Linked DNA regions of Stegostoma tigrinum. The protein of the gene in region 2 interacts with the protein of the main gene of each other region in a biochemical or structural test. Links are inferred from orthologs where the notes say so. Each region holds a gene or a part of one and is shown on either strand. Other genes may lie near its edges.

What was found.
Region 1: the proteins of SUMO-conjugating enzyme UBC9 (region 2) and pias1b form a complex in vitro, tested with the Homo sapiens proteins (12 studies listed by BioGRID, with this or other methods). The link is inferred for Stegostoma tigrinum from reciprocal best matches to the Homo sapiens genes UBE2I and PIAS1.

Annotation. Positions count from the first base shown.
Region 1 is NC_081386.1:29,952,951-29,963,476, reverse strand, and holds the start of pias1b (E3 SUMO-protein ligase PIAS1), read left to right. Parts: upstream 1-5,908; 5' UTR 5,909-5,918; coding exon 5,919-5,957; intron 5,958-10,526. UniProt on the Homo sapiens protein: Functions as an E3-type small ubiquitin-like modifier (SUMO) ligase, stabilizing the interaction between UBE2I and the substrate, and as a SUMO-tethering factor. Catalyzes sumoylation of various proteins, such as CEBPB, MRE11, MTA1, PTK2 and PML.
Region 2 is NC_081391.1:9,383,943-9,394,689, reverse strand, and holds the start of SUMO-conjugating enzyme UBC9, read right to left. Parts: upstream 5,309-10,747; 5' UTR 5,110-5,308; intron 1-5,109. UniProt on the Homo sapiens protein: Accepts the ubiquitin-like proteins SUMO1, SUMO2, SUMO3, SUMO4 and SUMO1P1/SUMO5 from the UBLE1A-UBLE1B E1 complex and catalyzes their covalent attachment to other proteins with the help of an E3 ligase such as RANBP2, CBX4 and ZNF451.

The DNA of each region.
Region 1 (10,526 bases), on a different chromosome or scaffold from region 2:
ATGTGGTGGACCCTGAACTGCCCTCTGGTCCATTAGGAATGGACAATAAATGCTGGTCCAGACATTGATGTCCATATCCCATGAATGAACAAAAACAAAATCATAACTATGTAGTTGCAGGGGGACCAAGAGTAGGGACCAAATATTCAATGATTCCCAACATTTAAGAAGGAAACAGAAATAGATTAGCACTATTAATAAAGGATGTGACCAATGAGAGAGGCTCTTGGATTGGGAAATCCAAGTGTGGAATCTGAGATAGTAAGAACTTCAGATGCTGGAGAATCTGAGATAACGTGTAGAGCTGGATGAACACAGCAGGCCGAGCAGGAAAGCTGACGTTTTGGGTCTAGGCCCGAGATGTTAGCTTTCCTGCTCCTCTGATGCCACTTGGCCTGGTGTTCATCCAGCTCTACACCTTGTCATCTCTTATTGTCAAAGTGTGGAATCTGTTTGGCTGGAGCTAAAAGCTAACAGGGCAGTGAGTATCCACGACCTCACTCCATAGGATGCAACCTGACACCACCTCAGCACCACTGTCTGAAATGAGGTTGAAAAGGCTCTGAGGCAGCAATGTTTGAATACTAACCTCTTTGTAGCATACGTGGAACAATCCCCAACCTTAAGTTCACCTGGACCATCTCTGATACCTCTCTCTCCCTCCTGGACCCCTCTGTTTCTATCTCTGGCAACCACCTGGAAACCGCTATCCATTTCAAGCCTACTGACTCCCATAGCTGCCTAGAATACACCTCCTCCCACCCACCTTCCCGCAAAAATGCCATCGCCTATTCCCAATTCCTTTGCCTCTGCATCTGCCCAGATGTCCTCGTCCTCGTTTTTCAAGGACAGCAACTCACCCCTGCCCCCCCACCCCCAACCACAGTGGTCGAAAATGCCCTTGACCACGTCTCCCACATTTCCTGCAACACATCCCTCACGCCCTCTCTCTGCAATAACAACCAAAACAGAATCCACCTTGTCCTCGCATACTGTCCCACCAACCTCCACTTCCAGCGCATCATCCTCCAGCACTTCTGCCATCTGCAATCTGACCCCACTACCAAAGACATTTTTCCCTCCCCACCCTTATCTGCTTTCCGGAGGGACCACACTCTCCATGACTCCCTTGTCTGCTCCACACTCCCCACCACCCCTGGGACTTTTCCCACAACTGCAGGAAGTGCTACACCTCCCTCACTCCCATCCCAGGCCCCAAGAAGACCTTCCTCATCAAACAGAGATGTTCAATTGCACATCAGCTAACCTAGTATACTGCATCTGCTGTTCCTGATGTGGCTGCCTGTACATCGGGGAAACCAAGCGGGGGCTTGGGGACCGCTTTGTGGAACACCTATGCTCTGTTCGCAACAAACAACTGCACCTCCCAGTCATGAACCATTTCAACTCCCCTCTTCCCTCTTCTTCCCACCCCCCCCCTCCCCCTCCCCCCCCCCCAACTCCTCAGACAATATGTCCATCCTGACCCTCCTGCATTGCCACAACGATGCTACTCGAAGGTTGTGGAACAGCACCTCATATTTCACTTGGGAACCCTGCAGTCCAACTGTATCAACGTGGACTTCATAAGCTTCAAAATCTCCCATCTTCTGACAACATCCCAAAACCAGCCCAGCTTGACCCTGCCTCACTAACCTGTCCTTCCTTCCAACTATTCCCTCCTCTCACCTCCAAGCCCCACCTCCTTCTCCCTACCAGCCTCATCCTGTCCCTTTGACCTGTCCGTCCTTCCTGGACTGACCTATCCCCTGGCCCCTAACTCCACACCTACACTCACCTTTATTGGCTCCACCCCCGCCTTTTTGACCTGTCTGTTTCTTCTCCACCTATCTTTTCCTTTATCCATCTTCTATTCGCCACCCCCTCTCTCCCTATTTATTTCAGGATCCCCTTCCCTTTCCCCATTTCTGAAGATGGCTGTAGGCCTGAAATGTCTGCCTTCCTGCACCTCTGCTGCTTGGCCTGCTGTGTTCATTCAGCTCTACACGTTGTTATCTCGGATTCTCCAGCATCTGCAGTTCCTACTATCTCTTGAGTACTCACTGCTGTGAGGCCCCTTAAATTCTCATCTTTTCTTCATTAGTTGGCACAGCCTGATGGTCGTATCTTTGAGCCCTGATTTTTAAGCATGCCACAGTGCACTCGATCTTGCATCACAAGCCCCACCTGCAACTTTCAATTTGGACATGTGGCATCTGGGGCATTAAAATAGACTTGTACCAGGAAGAAGTTTGGAAAGCACTTGTCTACAGAGCAGCAGTGTTATCAGCCCTTCTGCATGTGTTGGAGACATGTTCAATGTGCAGGAGACTCCCTCAAGTGCCTAAGAGAAATCACTAGCAATGCCTGTACAAATTCTTGCAAATTCATGGCAGGGTAGGTGATTCAGTATCAGTGTTCTCACAAGGGCCAGCATCCCTGGCAATGGAGATACTGTTTCTGGTCACTATGGTGCTTTGGATGAACCATGGTTTCCATGTGCCTGATAAGACTCCAAATCAGCTCCCCACTATGGGTTTCATTGACAAGAAGAAAGAGGAAATGTTTCAGTGCTGATCTCAAAATTTCATGAAGCAATACATTATCCCACCTAATTGTGGAAATAGCTTGCCCAAGATCATCTGAAATGGGGAAGGAACAATCCATTTTCAGCTTCTCCGAACGGTCCAAATAGAAACCAACGTACACAGCAGAATGTGAAATCCTTGAGTAGCCAAACCACCTGCTTCAGCAAACAGCACCCGTCCCATCTGTGACAGAATATGTGGTCCTAGTATAGAACTATTTAGTTACCATGTGACTCAAAATTGGAATGAAAGAACGTCAACCTTGGTTGCATGAGACTTTCTAAAAACAAGAGCCCACCAAGTGGTAGTGGTAATGTAGGGTGTGGTATAAATCAGGAAATTAGGAGTGCATTCAGACATAGTAATCATGGCAAACAACAATTTGCGTGTAGACTGGATTAACCTCATTAATTCCAATGCTGTGGAAAATAATCCCTGGAATATACATGTGATGGTACAGTTTGCTGAATAACCAACTAGAGAATGGGCTAGATCTTTGCAACTAGAAAGGGCTTATGCATTTATTACAAAGGGACCTTTAGGGAATAGTGACCATACTGTGATAGAACTTTGTTGTTTGAAAGTGATGTAGTTCAGTCGAACTTGGAGTATTTTTATCTTTTGTAGTGTTCCTTATTTAGATTTGAGCAGCAATTTGCACTGGAAAGTTAAATGATATGGCTGTAGACAGGTGTTTAAAGAATTAATACATTGCTTACAACAAATGTGCATTCTTTTGAGGCTCAAAACTCCCAATAGGAAAAGTGATTCAATTGAGGTTGACAAAATAATTCAAAGATTATATTAGATCAAAGGAAGAGGCTTTGTAAAGTTACTGAAAAAATAATAATAAGCTTGAGGATTAGGAGAACTTTAAAATTCAATTGACGACCAATAAGCTAATGAAGAAAAGAAAAGTGAAATATAGAAGTAAACTGGTGTGAAACCAAAAAGGTCACTGTCTTTTTATCATGTAAAAAGTAAAAGATCATCAAAGATAAATGTCCCATGACACGGAAGCAGGATAGTCTGTCTATCTGGGAAGTAAATGGGCAGAGAAACTAAACAAATACTTGATCTGCCTTTGCAGAGAAAATGCAGACAAAAGTTCCCAAAAATAAGAGAACTGAAGGACTAGTGAGCATGAGGGACTGAAAGTAATAGATGTTGGTAAGAAAAACAAAGTAGCAGAGATCTTAATGAGATCAAAAAGATGATCAACGGTGATTTTTTTTTCAAATATAAAAAAAACTTGTGAATGTTGCTGGGTAGACCTTAACTAAAATATAAATTATATCCCAGAATTGAGAGAGGTGACTGTAGATATAGTGGTTGCATTATGTGGTGGTCATTGTTACTTCATAGATTCTGGAAAGATTCCTGCTGATTGGAAGGTAGACCCTGCTATTTAAGAAAGGAAGGAGATAGGAAACAGAATTGTTTCCTTACACTGGTGAGTGACATCACTGGGGAAAATGCTAAAATCTGTTACAAAGAACAGTAACTGGGCGTTTCAAAATAATGGAAGGATTGGGCAGAGTCATTATGTTTTCCTTGCATAAAAATGTTTGATAAAGCTATTGGAGCTTTGTGGATATTAGCAGAATAGATAGAGGAGAACAAGTGGATGTGGTGCATTTCAATTTTCAGAAGGCCTTTAATAAGGATCTGTACAAAAGGTTAGCGCAATTTGTGTGCGTAGAATTGGGGATAATTTACTGGTATAGATTGAGATTTGGTTAGTGAAGAATCTTAGCAGGATCTTTGACAGGCTGTGAATGGTGGGGTGTGGCAAGGATCACTGCGTGGACTCCAGCTATTGACTGATTCCTGGGATGGCAGGATATGAGAAGAGATTGAGGCAAGCCTGCCTGTATTCTCTAGAATTCAGGAAAATAAGTGATCTGATTGAAGCATACAAAATTCTTACAGACCTTGACAGATGCGATCAGACTAGATTTTTCCGCTGCCTTGAGTCTAAAACTGGGGACACAGTCTCAAAATAAGGGATATGAGATGTGTTTATTAATTTTAGTTTTTTTGAATCAACAACTGATACTTCTCCTATTATTACATGCATCCTGTCTATAATTATGAGACCTTTTCCCCCCACAGTTGTTGAAATAATTTGCACAACTATTCTGTTTTGCAGGAGAGAATACTTGTTGATATTAACTGTTGTATCATTTATATAGTGAACTGACTGGATGGTAGGTCATAATTGGCTTTCTTTATGGATTTATTAAAACCAGAAGTACAGAGTAAAATTTCATTTATTTAAAACCAGACACTGGGGTTCCAATTGCACTTCTTATTTTGAGAATTATATTTGTGACTGGAAATTAGAGAAGTACGTTATCCATTAGTTGAGCAATTAGATTGGCTGAAATGGTGTATATTTTTGCGTGTGGTGAGCCTTCATTCTGCAGGTGTATGTAATACTTTGTATGTAATATCCCCACGCTCTCAGCTTGTTGCCAGGAACTACCATTCTAACTCAATGCAAACTGAAGCATGGATAGTAAAAATTTAAATTGAATTTATTTCAGAAGCTGATGGAGTTTTTTATGGTTTCGGGATTAATAAACCATGAGGCATAGATACGTGTTAATTGGCTTCTGATGTAAAGTGTGAGATTATGTATATTTTAATATTCATTTTAGAGTTTGGATTTCAGCTAGTGATGTAGATTTTGATCTGTTTACCTACAAGTGTTTATGACTAATATTAAAGTATTTCTGTACCCATAGTGATTTATTTTAAAGCAGTTTTCAAACTTTCTGGATAGTATAGGATTTTGTTTACATTGGGAGAGTTTGAGTCAACAAAGTAGATCGTCTGTTAGGCTGTCGGAGGATTCTGGAATTCCTTTGGGCTTGGAAAAAACATTTTTGATCTCACTTTGGGACAGTTTGCAGAAGTCATGGCAGATGCTGGATGTACAAAACAGATACTCCTGAGAATGGGAAGTTGCAGACTGTTCAGATAGAGAGTGAGGTAATGACGAAGAGCATCTCAACCACTGCACATAGCCAGTGGCTGTAGAACCGTTTTCTATCAAGACCCCTTGTAGGTGTCTTCAGGAGTGCATGACATGAGCATTAATTTGAAATGGAATTGAGATTTTATTCTCAGTTACCTTGTCCATGCATTGTTGTATTTCTGTAGATGGTCTAATCTTGCCTAATGTCTTTAATGGTATGGTTTTTACACAGTTAATTTCCACAAAACTGCAGTAATTTTGTGCTAACTCATTATCTGGTGTATGCTACGCTCAATAGTGTTACACAGTGAAATAACCACCTTTTCTGTACAGGAAAAGAAACATTGATGGGAAATCACTTTCCTGTAGCAGAGAATTATTACCTGGTAAGAGAAGAGCAACACTTTGTTTTTTCGGAGTGGAACCCTGCAGAAAGTTGCAAGTGAAAATGGCAATGCTTGTGTGTCTGCTATACTGTATTAGCTCAACACTATAAAATTTATGCAATTCTTCTTTGAGGCCTTTTCTTGCTCAATCGGATGATCATAACCACCAAGCTAAAAAGGAATCTTCTGATTAAGACCTTCTAATTCACAGAGGACGTTTTAGTCTGATTCATATCCATCACCCCGCACTGAAATCTCAGCTCATGTGTTGGCAGGTGCGACAAATTCTGCCACTACAGGTGAGATGATCCATGATATTCTGAAATCAACTGTATGCTAAACAAAACCACCTAATAATTTCTTTATTTTCAACCCCAATTAATTCTATCTCCAGTTTTCAAAATGAATTTCAGGAATCAAATTCACATCTTTGCTGAACCTTCCCTGTCTGTACACTATCTGTGTACTGCACTTTGTTGAAATTTGCTGATTTGTTTTTGAGATGTAATGTTTACAGTCAAACAGAAATGAATATGGTCTGTGATGAAGCGGAAAAAGATAGAGTACGTTCCATGAGCTTAAACTTAGATTTTGTAAGTTGCATTTCTCATACAAAACGTGACCTGCAATAATAACATTTTGGCGTTGTGTTGTTGAAATTGAATTTGTAGGAATTGCAGATGCTGTGGGCACCAGTTTTATAGATGTTACAACTGAGATATTCCGTAATATGGGCAGAGGCTTAACCGCTGCATTGGTTAGTGGAAATTTACTAATTAAAAATGGTAATCATATGCCTGTTACTCACTGCTCCAAATTCTGTCCTTGGATACAAATGATGCTTCTTTTCAATTCTCTCTTCTGTTTTGCTTATATTAATGATGCATAAATATTTATAAAATATTTTGTAAGTGTTGAAATATTCCAAAACACAACAGGTGAGATATTACTAATTTGATTGGGAGGTTTTTAATTGTATAGATGCTATGAGATTGATTTTGAGGTAGCAAATTAATTCAAATGTTTAATTTTCAGGCCTTGAAGTTGATATTTTGGTTAAGCTATGAAAACCATTTGGACTCAATGTCAGGTTTTATTGAGATGCAGTAACCTTCCGAGGATCTGAGACACAAACACATTACAGTAGCAACATAATGAGTGGCTTGGTGTTATGGGCGTTGCAAGAAATTCTCATGGTACCTCAGTAAGCTATATGGTTGATCTGTGTAACCTTTGTAGAACTGTTGAGCAGTGCCTACACAGTGTTTCATTAACTGTCAGATTTTAGATAATTTTGACTGCTTAATTGAAAAAGATAGTTGACTAATTTCATGTTTTTTTAAGTGTGGATGGTGAGTGGCATGTTTTTGTGACCCATTATGTAAAATAAAACTCTCTGATGTACTCATTTGGTGTTATTCTGTAGAAAGCCCAGCAGCCGTTACTTTTGTTGTAGAATGCGAATTAGGCAAAGAAATGGTGGTATAGTGAAATTACATCCAATGTAGATAATTGAGGGTTGAGCTTAGAGTTTTATAAAATCATGAGGGCCTAAATAAGGTGAGTAGCAAAGGTCTTTTCCTCCGACTAGAGAAGTTCAAAACTGGAGGGCATTTTTTACGGTGAGAAGAAAGATTTAAAAGGGACCCGAGGGCAACTTTTTCATATGTGGAATAATCTGCCAGAGGAACTGGTCGATGCAAGTGCACTTACAACATTTAAAAGACATTTGGGCAGGTACATAAATAGGAAAGATTTGGGGAAAAGAGTGCAATGCAAGCAAATAGGACGAGTTCTGTGTTTGGGAAACTTGGCATGAACGAGTTGGACCAAAGGTTCTGTTTTCTGTGCTGTATGGTTCTATGACTGACCCAATCAATTGCATATGATTGGACTAATATCCTTAGAATTGATTTTTTAAAAAATCTTATAGATGTCAAATTGTGTGTGGTGTATATAACTCCTTTAATCTGGTTGCAAGGCTATTACCGTTGTTGATTATAATTGAACTCCCATGATATTGTGTATGTGGTTAATTTTGATAGTGACTGAGATTGTGCATGGTGCTATTTAGTGATTCCAGAAGTGATTGTGGTGTGTGTAGTCTCTGCTGTGTTGATGCTTGGTGAGATTCACTTCTGTCACTGGCGCTTTGATAGTTACTTCATGTGAGATCCTGCATGCTCTAGTAATGTACTTGTACTGGAGTCTACTTTATTAGCCGAAAACTTTTTATTTACATTTGTACCTTCCACAGTTCAACATGTTGAATAATACTTGGAGGAAGCACTGAGCATGGCAAGGGTGCAAAATGTACTCTGGATGGGGGAATCCGTGTCTGCCACTAAGAGTGTTTCGACAGCAGTGTTACTGATCAAGTTGGTCGGGTGACGTAGCTACTAAACTGGTATCCAGCAGTTGTTGATGGGAGAAACATATTTGATGTCATCCTTCACAATCTGTTGATTGCCAACATATCTATCATTGATAGTATCTTTAGGAGTGAACACCACACAATCACTGTGGTAAATGGGACAGACTTCAAACAGATCGAGCAGTTCAAGACTAGGCATCCATGAGGTGCTGTGAACCATCAACAGCAGAATTGTACTCCACAATCTACAACCTCATGGCCTGGCATATTCCGCTCTTGACCATTACCATCAAGCCAGGGGATCAACCCTGGTTCAATGGAGAGTGCAGGAGGGCATGCCAGGAACAGAACAGGTATACCTAAAGACAAGGTCAACCTGGTGGAGCAAGTAAACAGGACTAATTGCAAGCCAAACAGCATACCAGTGATAGACAGAGCTCATTGATCCCATAACCAATGGGTCAGATCTAAGCACTGCAGTCCTGCCACATCTACTCATGAATAGTGGTGGACAATTAAACAACTCACTGAAGGAGGCTCCACAAATAGCCCCATCCTCAATGATAGAAGAACCCAACATGTCAGTACAAAATAAGGCTGAAGCATTCATAGCAAAAGTGGATGATCTATCTCTACCTCTTCTAGTGGTCCCCAGCATCACAGATACCTGTCTCCAGCCAATTCAGTTCACTTCACATGATAACTGGAAATATTTGGAGGCACTGGATTTTGCAAAGGCTATGGACCCTAACAACATTCTGGCAATAGTACTGCAGACTTGAGGTCCAGAACCTGCTGCTCCCCAAGCCAAGCTCTTCCAGTACAGTTACAACACTAGCATCAACCCGACAATGTGGCAAATTACCCAGGTATGTCCTACATACAAAAAAGCGGACAAATCGAACCTGGCCAATTACTGCCCCATGAATCTACTTTCAATCATCAGAAAAATGCTATAAAGCAGCACCTACTAAACATAAGCCTGCACACTAACACCGAGTATGGATCATTCCAGGGCGACTCAGTTCTTTATCTCATTGTAGCCTTGGTTTAAACATGGAAGAAAAGAACTGAATTCCAGAGGTGAGAGTGACTGACAGACCTTGTCATCAAGTCTGCATTTGACCATGTGCGCATCGAGGACCCTAGCAAAACTCACTACTGGTTAAAATCATATCTGGCACAAATAAAGATGGGCATGGTTGTTGGATGTCTGTTATCTCAGCTCCAGGACATCTCTGCAGGAGTTCCTCAGGATCGTGCCTTAGGCTGAGCCATTTTCAACAGCTTCATCGTGACTTCCCTCCCTCTTAAGGTCAGAAATTAGGGTGTTTGCTGATAATTGCAAGATATTCAGCACCATTCCTGACTCCTCAGATCCTGAAGCAGTCCATGTTCAAATACAAGATGATTTGGGTGGACAAGTGGCAAGCAACACTCTCGCCACACAAATGCCAGGCAATGACATTCTACAGTAAGAGCAAATCTAACCACCACCACTGACATTCAGTGGTCTTACCATCACTGAGTCCCTCACTATCAACATCCTTGGGGTTACCATTGAGCAAAAATTTAAGTTGGACTTGCCACATAAACACAGGCCAGGAACACTGGCGGGTAACCCGCCTCCTGGCTCCCCTGTACACAGTCTACTAAGCATAGTCTAGGAGTGTGATGGAATACTAAATAAAAACTGAAACCACTGTGGATGCTGTAAATCGGGAACAGAAACAGAAATTGTTGGAAAAGCTCAGCAGATCTGGCAGCATCTTTGAAGAGAAAATCCAGAGTTAATATTTCGGGTCCAGTGCCCCTTCTCTGAACTCATGATGGAATACTCCCCATTTGCTTTGATGAGTACATCTTCAATAACACTGAAGAAACTTGATGCCATTCAGGATAAAGCAGCCAGTTTGATTGGCTTCACATCCTCAAGCATTCACTCCCTCCACCACCAGCACTGGGTAGCAACAGCGTGTACTATCCACCAGATGCATTGCAGAAATTCAGCAAAGATCCTTAGAAATTACCTTTCAAATGCACGATCACTTTCAGTTATAAGGAACAGGGCAGCAGATACATGGGAAAACCACTACCTGTAAGTTCCCCTCCAGTCCATAATTGTATAAATGACAAATTTCTGTTTTTGTTTACTGATCTTAAAGAGGAAAGCAGTAAAGGGGTTGGGGGCATTA
Region 2 (10,747 bases):
AAAGCATTTTCCACTCCCTAACCGGATGACAATGGCACCCTCAATTGAAAGCAGCTAAGCAAGAACCTCCTGGGGCACCTTTTAAAAGGTGAAAAAGTTGACATACATATTTGTCAACTTATATCTCTCCTTTCAGCATTATAGTCTTTGATTTTGCATTTTATCATTCAACAATTACTTTGCACTTCCTTAAAAAATACCTGGAAGTGTCAATTTTGAAAACTGTTGAACTCTAAAGCTTTTGACAGGTGGCATCCTAAGGATGCTTTCAAGCTCAAGTTTCTGCACTCAAGTCCAGAGATAAAGCAAGATCTGCTCAGACAGGGTCAGAAATAATCTCAGCTACTGAACTTTAGCGTACAAGAATGCCTTCTGCAATGGTGGCACTCTTCTGGGGCAATGGATAGCTTTAATCCCTGAAAATCTAGGCCTCATTGAATTGCGCAATTATTGGTTTTGTTTTGTATCAGCTTTAAGCATTTTTTCGGCAATGGTGCTCATAATTGAAGCCCACACTTTTGGCATCAGTTGAACTGACTAGAACCTTGGAACACGACAGAAGAAAGGGAAAAGAATCACCATGATAACAGTCTTGCAGCATATGCGCTTAACTAAAGACAGATGTGCTGGTACTTACAGTTGGATAGCCTGACTAGTCTCTCACAAAAGTGCAGCACTTGGACATTTTTAAAGTGCTTGCACATATTAAGATTCAATTCAAAAGGGTGAAATTTTCTACAGGATCTTGTGATGTCATGACAGTTTCTGTACCCCTGGAACCTGGGCTTCCATGTTCCTGTCCCACCTGCTTCAAAAGACATATTATATCTCTGAACAGGGTGATCAGAAAAATAGGTTGAAATAAAAAATTCTTAAGCCTATGGGTATATTCCGGATCACAGCAACAAGAGAACACCACCTCTCTCACAATTATAAGCCAGACTCCATTGAGGATACCACATATAGGTCAATGTAAGAAACATTACAAATAACAAGCCTGCCTGATTATTTCACAGCAACTCAGTCCAGTCGTTAGCTTGAAATCACATGCCCCTTCCTAAAGGGAGATACATGCATGCCTTTAATAAGGCTGAAGGATATCTCTCTCACTCAAATGGCCAACTTTAAAAAGGAGCATCTCACTTTTGCTGAGCATGAGTTATACAGACCAGAAAGCAGTGAGCTCCAGTTGTCTGCTTGGAATTTTAAAAAAAGCTAATGGAAAAGGAGTTAGGGCACCATGGGCAAAGCACTCCAAGTGTTACAAATATAGCTGTGCCTCCAGCAAAGCTGCTTCAGTGCAATTTCAGACAAAAGGGGAAAAAAAAAGTAGAAAACTGTTCAGATATCAACCCTGGCCATAAAAACTTGGGAAAACCCAAACTCAAATCAGCATCAGCCAATAAGTCAGCAAAAGAAGAGGTAGAAGGAATAATGTTAATTTGTACTTCCTCAATAATCTGAATATTTGGATTCTGTCAAGACTGCTTGGCTCCAAATCTAACTGGAAACTTTGTCCAAGCACAGATGAAACAGCTAAATTCCAGAAGGGAAGCAACAGTAACTGCAAAGCAGCTTGATTAAATATGACCTCAAGAAACTGGAGTAAGACAGAGTCCATTAGAGTTTATGGAAAATCTCTTCGCCTCATTCAAAGCGAGGTCACTGAATGGTGGAAGTTGACCTTCTCAGTGCAAAACACTGCTGGAGGAAGGTTGTCAGGTCAATGTAGAGATCCAACTATCTTCAACTGCTTCAATTGCCTCTCCATCATAAAAGGTCAAATCAGGGGATGTTGACTGATGACTCTTTACTGTTCAGTTCCATTCACAACTCTTCAGATGTAGTCCACTTGCAGTATGACTGTAGCAAATACTCAGGCTTAGGTTAGTGAGTGCCAAGACTGATATCTGTGTTACACATGTGCCTGGTGACAACCTTCTCCAAAGATGCAGTTCACTCCCAAAATTCAACACTACTAGCATCATAAATATTGCTGAAAAGAAATACGCATTTTGTCAAAGCTTTTCACCTTACTCATCAGGACAGATTGCAAGAATCACCAAGATAAGGGTTTTCCTGTTGGTTAGCATAGATATGGTAGGCCGAAGGGCCTCCTTCTACGCTGCAGCTATGGTATTCTTGCACCAAGTCCTGGTGATTGCAAGACAAAAAGCTTTAATGTGTTTTGCACCAGTACTCAAGTTCTGCACTCCCATACTCTTTGCACTTGTATCACAGTCAACATCTTGGAATCCTCATTGACAATAGGTCAAATTGGACCAGCCATATAAATACAATGGCTGCAAAAGCAGGTCAGATGCTTGGAATTCAGAGCCTGGCCACTGTCTAAAAAGCACATGCCTGGAGTGTGATGTAATTAGCTCCACTTGTTTGAATGGCTGCAGCACTAACACCACAATGTGGACATGATTCCATTGGCATTCCACCCAACTTAGCATGACAGCAGTGTATCCCATCTACATGGCATAGTGCAGTTTCCAATGCCCATGCAGAGCAAAAACCAACCACAGTATCCAATGGTTGCTTCAAATTCCAAAGCTACAGCCACACTGAAAGACATGATTAGCACAGACAGAGAAACACATCAATCATCTTGAAAACATATCTTAACCACTAGCCCATAATTCTGGTACTCCCTGTCTAACAAGACAGAAAATAAAAATCACAGGATCTCCAACAGGTCACCACAAACTGCAAGATTCCATCATGAATGAACAAATGACTTTTGTCCAGGCACCCACATCCATTGCATACATACAAACTATAGTTAGGGTCAGACTGTATGACCTTTCCTCCATTGTCCGACAGAGTGCAAGCATCACTGTTTTGTAAAAGGTGGACGAGTCCACAGGAGCAGGGAAGAAAGTAAGGTAAGAAAGTTTGGCCTTCCAAAATTCACCAAGTTTACCACAATAGCTGACTCTAAGTCCTGAACTTAGCAAAAACTAGATGAGAAAGGGTAAGAAATAATTTTCATCTACAGACTACTGTCTAAACACATGCACACATATGAACAGGCTCAGTCGTCATCCAGAAAATTTATATTTGCAATCCAAGTAAACTTCCCAAACGACATCAAAAGAAACTGATGCATAAGGTTTCACTAAGTCTTTTAGTTTGAATGTTAAAAAGTCAACACAAAGGCAAACCAATATGCAAGTCCTATTCTGTAGAAGCCATAAGCTACAGGTTAATAACTGGCACCACTTACCAAGGCAGCTTTCTTAGCATGTGGCACCAAGTGCAGTCAGTCTCAACTTCCAGCAATAGAGTTTGACTGCCTTCTTTGATGCAGGATCTGACTCTCAAGCATTCTCTGATAACTAGCTGTCTACCAGAAAGTGCCAGATTCAATTACCATCAAAACTGCATACTTCTTTCAATTTAGCAATTATAGCCATGACATCTGGACTTTCCCAGAAGCATCTTCATCTGGCTACCCAGTACAATCAATTTCCACAAACCCTGATCTTCATTGCAGCCAGGCAGTTTCCATGGCTTTACAGATTTCAGTTTTCTCAGCAGGCTCCTGTATGGTTTCACTTAGAAACAGAGTCTGTTTTCTTTCTACTGGAAAGGACCAATTGAGGCCTGCTGGTTCATACCTCTAGTTGAAATGAGGTTTAACTCCTAAGGAAACTGAAGCTATGTTCCTTCCTCAGACATCTGATAGCACAGCCAGGGATTTTAATACAGGCAAGATCTTCACAAAGGTCCTCTTGTGGTGCAGTGATAGTGTCCTTAAACCTGGGCTGAGGGGATCAGGCTCAGATCTCACCAGTGTCAGAAGTGCATAATACCATCTCCAAAACAGGTTGGCAACAAAAATGGGTTCAATTTTAAAAATGCTCTTGCCTCTTCTCCACACCCAAATAATAAAACTTGGGTTTCTTTCTTGCTGAAAGTCTTAAAAAAGTTTCACCACAGGAAGTTGACAGTATTACAAAAACTGTTAGCATGGATGCATTTAAGGGTAAGATAATTGAATAAGTGAAAATAAATTGAATTTATTAGGATGCAATGAAGTACACTGAGATAATGTTTAAGTTGGGTCAAATGGACTGCTACTACAAAATCAAAGCATTCAAAGTTACTAAAAGATCAACTCAAATAAGATGACAATATCTGCATAGAACAGTCTCCTTCCTAAATGTATACTACACAGATCATTTAAAAAGTTAACCTTATGCCACTCACTCCAGAAAAATAACCGGTTCTATTCAAGATAGAAACGTTTCCTATAACATTAAACTAATGAACATTAAATCTGCAAAACACTACTTTGCCAGACATCATCTCCCACACATACACTTTGCACATACAGGACTCGTTGCTTTTACAGACACAACAAACTGGGCAATTTCAGCATTATATCTGAACAAGAGACAGCAAGGCAACACAGGGAAATAAAATCAAGACCAATCACCTGCATGTAAAAACATTTAAAGTTGCTTTAACTTCTGAAGTAGCATCAGCAAAACAGATCAATACTAGATTGTCCTTGGCTTTCCCAAGAAGCTTAATTTTTTTCATTAAATAATCATTTTAATTTATTACACAATTCAAATCTTCACCAACATCTACTTTAAATTCATACTTCACACCAAACATTCCCAAAAAGCCACAATATTATGATCATCCGTCCTCAGGAAAACAACAGAGATTAAAACAAACGTTTAGTGGACTTCTATAGCAAAAATTAAAAATCTGTCTCCTCTTCATAAAAGTCGCCACTGACTTTTAAATAAAATCAGTTATTTTCAAAATTTGCCCAAGGCAAACATGTTCCAATTTAAGTTTGATATGGAGCTTAAACAAAGTCAACAGTAAATAGGGAGAGATGCACACCCAAGTATGGAAAAAAAAATCAGATTTACAACAGCTGGAATAAGAAGGAAGAGTGAATGTGTGCCTAGTCTGTGGCTTCTACATAACAGCATGCAGGAAGGTGTCGTAGAAATGAGGAAAGGAAAGGGGGAAAAAGAAGGGAAAGGCTACTTATTAACATCTTAGGAACCACACCCCGTTATTAGAGCGGGGAGAAAAGGGTGCTCTTTAAAAAAAAAGTCGCGAAGCACTTCTTACCTTCAGCGACAGTGTTAATTTGGGGAGGGGAGGGTTGGGGGATGGGGAGGGGAAAGTGCTTCAGGTGACGGAGCTGAAGCGATAACGATGTGTGTGCCTCTCTCCCTCTCCCAGTCCGTCCGTCTCTCCCGCGACTCATTCACATCCACAGAACAACAAGGGAACTGAGTGCAATATGGCGGCGCCAGGACCCCGTCCACCCCGTCAGGCCCCCGACCAGGACGACTACATGCCTGCAAGGAGGGGAGGAGGTTGTGGAGAAAACAAAAAAAAACACTTCCGGTCTGTTTCCCCAGTCCGATGGCCTGTCAGTTGTTTTTCTAAAAAAAACAGACGCAGAAATAGTTCTCAAACGCGGCGTTTTTAATCATCATTCCTCAGTTCCAATACATCCTTTTTAATAACGAAGCAGGTTTTGATAAAGGGCATGTATTTAAAAAGCACATAAAAGCAGGCGCGTATTTTGCCACCTAAAAGATCGAGCGGCCAACCGGTTGGAACCGGTTTGATCCGGTTTCGTTTTGAAAAAAAAACCGTTACGGAGCGTTTCCTCGCGTATTTTCTTTCGTGTTTTTCTCACAGTGTGTGTTTTTCGTAAGTTTAGGTGAAAATTAATTATTTTTGACACTCGTTCCCCCTCCCCCGGTAAAAAGGCCGTTTTAAAGGGGAAACGCCGAAGAATATTCGAGAAGCCACCACATGGCGTCACATGGGGGGGGGGGGGAGTGCTGCTGCGATGACGTCATTGGCTCAACTCGCAGAACTTTCGAGAAGGTGAAGGCTGCGTGGGAGGGACTATAGTGCGGGGCAAAGCCATCAAAAGCCCCCTCTTGGCCACATCTAGTGACTTGTTTTTCTCTGGTCTGAGTAAAGGCTCCACCCAAGATGGGTGCAGCATATAATGAGGCCATTCAGCCTATTGGGGAACAGTGCTGGCTCTTCAGGATAGCCATCTTGCTTTCTGGTTGACCAACTGTTGTTTAGTTTTGGATTATGGCCCACACGGGCTGGTTGGACCAAAGAGCCTGTTCTGTGCTGTGTGATTGTATAAATGTGGCTGGGAGAAACTAAAGGGATGTTTAGCTGTGTGAGTTGCTGGCAGAAGCTTGAGTATGGGGTGTGGAGGACGTGGCACAGTGGATGCACTTGTAAGTGGGGCTTATGTTGTAAGCGGTGCTGGTAAGAAGTTTGCATCTGTGGGGTGAGGGGTGGTCTTGTGAATGAGGAGGTGTTCATGCGATGTTGCATATGTGAAAGATTGGTGGGGGGCATCTGCTGCCGTGTGGTTTGCCCCAATTTTGATGATGTGGATGTGCTGGTGTTGGGTTAGAAATCAAACAACACCAGGTTGTAGTAGGAATTTATAGAAGGCAACATTAACTGTCTATAAATTGTGAACTTTTTGAACAAAATAGAATGTATCTGTGTATAGAAATAAGACCAGTGTGGCTCCAAACCAAAACATAAACAGATTCTAAACAAACCCTCATTACCTAACACACATTGTCTGACCTAAAATGTCACTTTACACTGATGAAACCTTTAATTCTGTCAGGACAGTGACTTGAAAGGAATTTGGGAATTTACATATGCAGAGTAATCAATTAAAACTTCTAACTGCTAAAGATTTGGCAGTATCTTAAGTTTAATACATCCTCATCAGTGGTGTGACCCTCTGATCTTTTACTTAGAAATTTCTGTTTCTTATACTACCTTGCTCGCTGACACCTGAAGAAGAAGTGAGGCTATGAAAACTTGTTTTTGAATAAACCTGTTGGACTATAGCCTGATGTTGTGTGATTTCTGACCTTGTCCAATTTTGAGACTAGGTCCATGCCCCTCCTAGACTTCTATGTGACTGCCCTGAGCACAAGCTGTAAACCTTCCAACCATGTCATGTCTTGCACAATGGAAAGGTGTGCCTGGCATCTGAGACAAAACACCTCCTGTCCAGGCCTGAAGTGGGCCTCTGGGGGGGAAAAAGCCAAATTATAAGACCAATCCAAGAAAATGTGGCACGGTTGATGACCCTGTGTGATAGTCACAAGAAAAAAAATTACTGATGTGCTATTACACCTTTCACCACTTCAAAATGCCCTCAGTGGGTAGTACAGCCATTGAGATACTTTTGGAGCATACTTACTGTTATAAGTAAACCTGCCAGCTAATTTGCATGCAGCAAGGTGCAACAAACAGCAGTGTAATAATAACTATAATCTTTTCATTGATGTTAATTTAGACATAAATAACGGTTCTGGACTAATGAAGATAATCCCTGTTGTTCTTTGCCATGTTTTACAACTCCATTTATATGGTTAGGCAGACTCCGTGTTCAGTTCTTCACCTATTTATTGTCAAAGGTTTTTTCTTGTTTACTTTGTGTGACAATTTGGGATCTTAACTTTTTATGAAAGTCAATATTATTCTTTTTAATCTCTCTCTGATGAAGGGTCACGGCCTGAAATGTCAGCTTTTGTGCTCCTGAGACGCTGCTTGGCCTGCTGTGTTCATCTAGCTCCACACTTTGTTATCTTGGATTCTCCAGCATCTGCAGTTCCCATTATCTCTGATACATTATTCTTTTTAATTTGTTTTCATTGTTAATATGGATTTAAAACTCAAATTTGACCATGATGTAACCAACTGGCTGAAGAAAATAAATGCCCTTTTTGTGTTTAACAGAACCTAGAACTTGCCTTGATGTGGTAAAAGGCGCTGATCCAGTGTTTGTTATTGTAAAATGGCCAGATTGAGGCGTCTAGTTTTGGTGTAGCTATGTTGCATGAATAAGTATTTAATCAAAATATTTTTTACCATCTGTTCAGAATAATGTGAAGCAATGGAGAGATTCACAGCACAAGGAGTACATCCCTGTTGTTCTTAAATATAGCATTATGAGACCTTGATTTCGCAACTAACCCGATAAGCACCTTCAATATAGCAGTGCTCCTTCAGTGGTGTTGTGACATTACAGTTAAGTTAATGATGAACATGGTCTATTGATATTTAATTTCCATCATCTGATTTTAATACCTGGGATCTTTATTGGAATAAATTTAACTTTTCTAAGAGCACAAATACAGAGCTTAAAAAGGCTGGTGTGATCTCCTGACCATATTGAGCAAAACTCATGAAACTGTCAATATACAAGGATCTATTTGAGCCAAAATTAACCAGGTCATGAAAGACACTGAAACTTCGATCTGTTCTTTGTTGATTTACACCTTTCTGGAAGCTATATGTTTGGAGGAATCTGGCCTGCAGATCATCCAGCTTGGTAAAATAATTATGCCAGACACCTGACTCTTCAATGAACTATATTTCAGTCAACAGCTTTGGAGTAGCAAATAGAAAAAGAAAAATGAACCAATCGCAAGAAGCTGGAAGTCTTTTTCTTCCCATCTTTCTCAAAGTCAATGTCTGATGGAAAAAAAACACTTTACAAGAGCAATATTCACCCAGAATGCAAGAAATACGCAAACTTTGGCAAAGTTGAATAAACAACACAACAGCTCAACATTCAGAACTCATCATTCTCAAATTCAAGGACTCTAATAACTTTAAACTGTGCCTGCATTTACCTTCCTCTCTCGGACATCCACCACTTTTTAAAGTGTGGCTGTGTGTGTGTGTGTGTTTTTGGGACTGGAAGGTAATAAAATTCCTCTTTTGCTCAAGAAAATGTTGTATCCTCCTTTTAACCTAACTGATTTCATTTGAAGTGTGATACTTATTTGCTAAAAGAGAAATAAGTATTTGCTATGAGAGGGCTTTAAAAAGATGGGAGGTGTTTTTGTTTCCTGTCCTCACTTGTTAGCAACAAAAATGAGAACAAATTGCACCATTAGAACCCAAGTACAAACAAAAGAATTGGAGTGGATACATAAATTGTTCCATCAAAAAACTTTTTAAGTAAAAGAAACTGAGTCTAAGATTAAAAATTGCTAAAATGGCCACATTTGTTATTAGAGCAAGATAGAATAACATATGAAAAGTTAAAAGCTTTGTCCTTAGAATTAAAAGGGGTAGTTAGACATGAAGTTTCACCCACATTGTAAAATGTGTGGCAAGTATTTAGAGACAGAAACTAATTAGAGCAGCTAAGATTAGAATTAGAATTCCAACAGCTGAAAAGAATTACATGAAAACGCGAGGTTGTGAAGGAAAGAGAAGAGAATTCCAAGAAAGAAAGGACTTTCCAATTCAGACAGCTTGACCTGAGGAGGGAGATAGAAAACTGCTCTGGTAAGGGAGCAAGACTTGCATTTAATGCCTGAATTATTTACATTTATTGATTTAATTCCTAAACTTAATGAGTAAGAGCTGGACACATCTCTTTTGAAAGGTTAGCACTGTATTTAAAGTAGCCAATCCACTGTTGAACATTGCTGTTGTAGAGCAGCTGACAGAAAAAGCTCAAAGATCACTCACTTTGTCTTATGTAGAACATGCCATTTACTATGAAGCAGCATAGGAGACTATTTTAGTGCATATCAGTCTTGCTAGAGGCATTGAGACAAACGTTTTGTACCCTCAAGAAATAATCTACCTGTCCTATATAACTAGAATATACAGGCTTTAAGGTGCTCATTTGTACCCAATAAGTATGGATACTTAAAATTCAGGCCATCTAAGAAAACCTCTGTGAGGTACCATGAGTTGGTCAAAAACTCCATATCGTTTCTATTTCAGACTTCTTTCGAGAAACGTTGGAGAGCAGGGCCCAGACAGCCAGCAGTTCTGGCTGACAGCTAGGGGTTAACACATTGTCTTAGTAACTCAGGAAAGTGGTTGTGGAAGCTGCCGAGACCAGAGAGGGATAAATGTAAGGCAAATGCTAAGACAAGCTGGAGAGAAAAGGGAAACCAGACAAAGAAATCAGAATTGACCCTAAACGTTAACAGGGTAGGTTGAGGTGGGAGACATTTGGGAAATGGCAGAAATGTTACTATATCAGGAAGCCTGGGGATAGAAAATAAAATTCTTAGTTATGACATTGCCTAGAAACCCAAGTTGCAGTGTCTAGCATTCAAAGTGATTCATGTCCAGTTATGCTATGAATGAGGAAAGCGGTCAGATTTTTGTTTAAAAATGAATAGTGACCACTTATTCCTTTAAACGGCTGGAAAGAGAAGACCACATTCTCTGAGACATTGGGTGGGACCTTGCTAATAGGGAAAATGTTCCACGTGGAAGCAAGTTAAATTCCAGTGTGCTAGTAAATGTTCACAGGGAGAAGTATAGAGGATGTTAATGTTTACCTATAGAGTCAATGTGTTACAGTGAATGGTAACAGTGGGAAACGTCCCAAGTTTGTTAAGGCCAACGATAGATATTTTATTGGAGTATAATTTTGTTTGATAGTAAAACATATCCCTTAAACAGAAAAGGACAGCTTTGAGAAGATGGAGAAAGCCATCACTGAGCAGCAGAACGCCCGGGTATAAAAGGTTCAGAAGGAGCAAAAGCTCAGGAGGGAGTGATTGAAGGTGAGTAACTCTAATTATAGCAGGAAATGCAAAGAGACCAGAAATTAAGACAGTTCAGAAATGCTCAGTAAAACCCATAACGCTTGGTTAGCCAGATTTGGCCATTCAATTTAAGCAGGGCTGAAGTTCATCCAGAAGTGTCAGTAAAG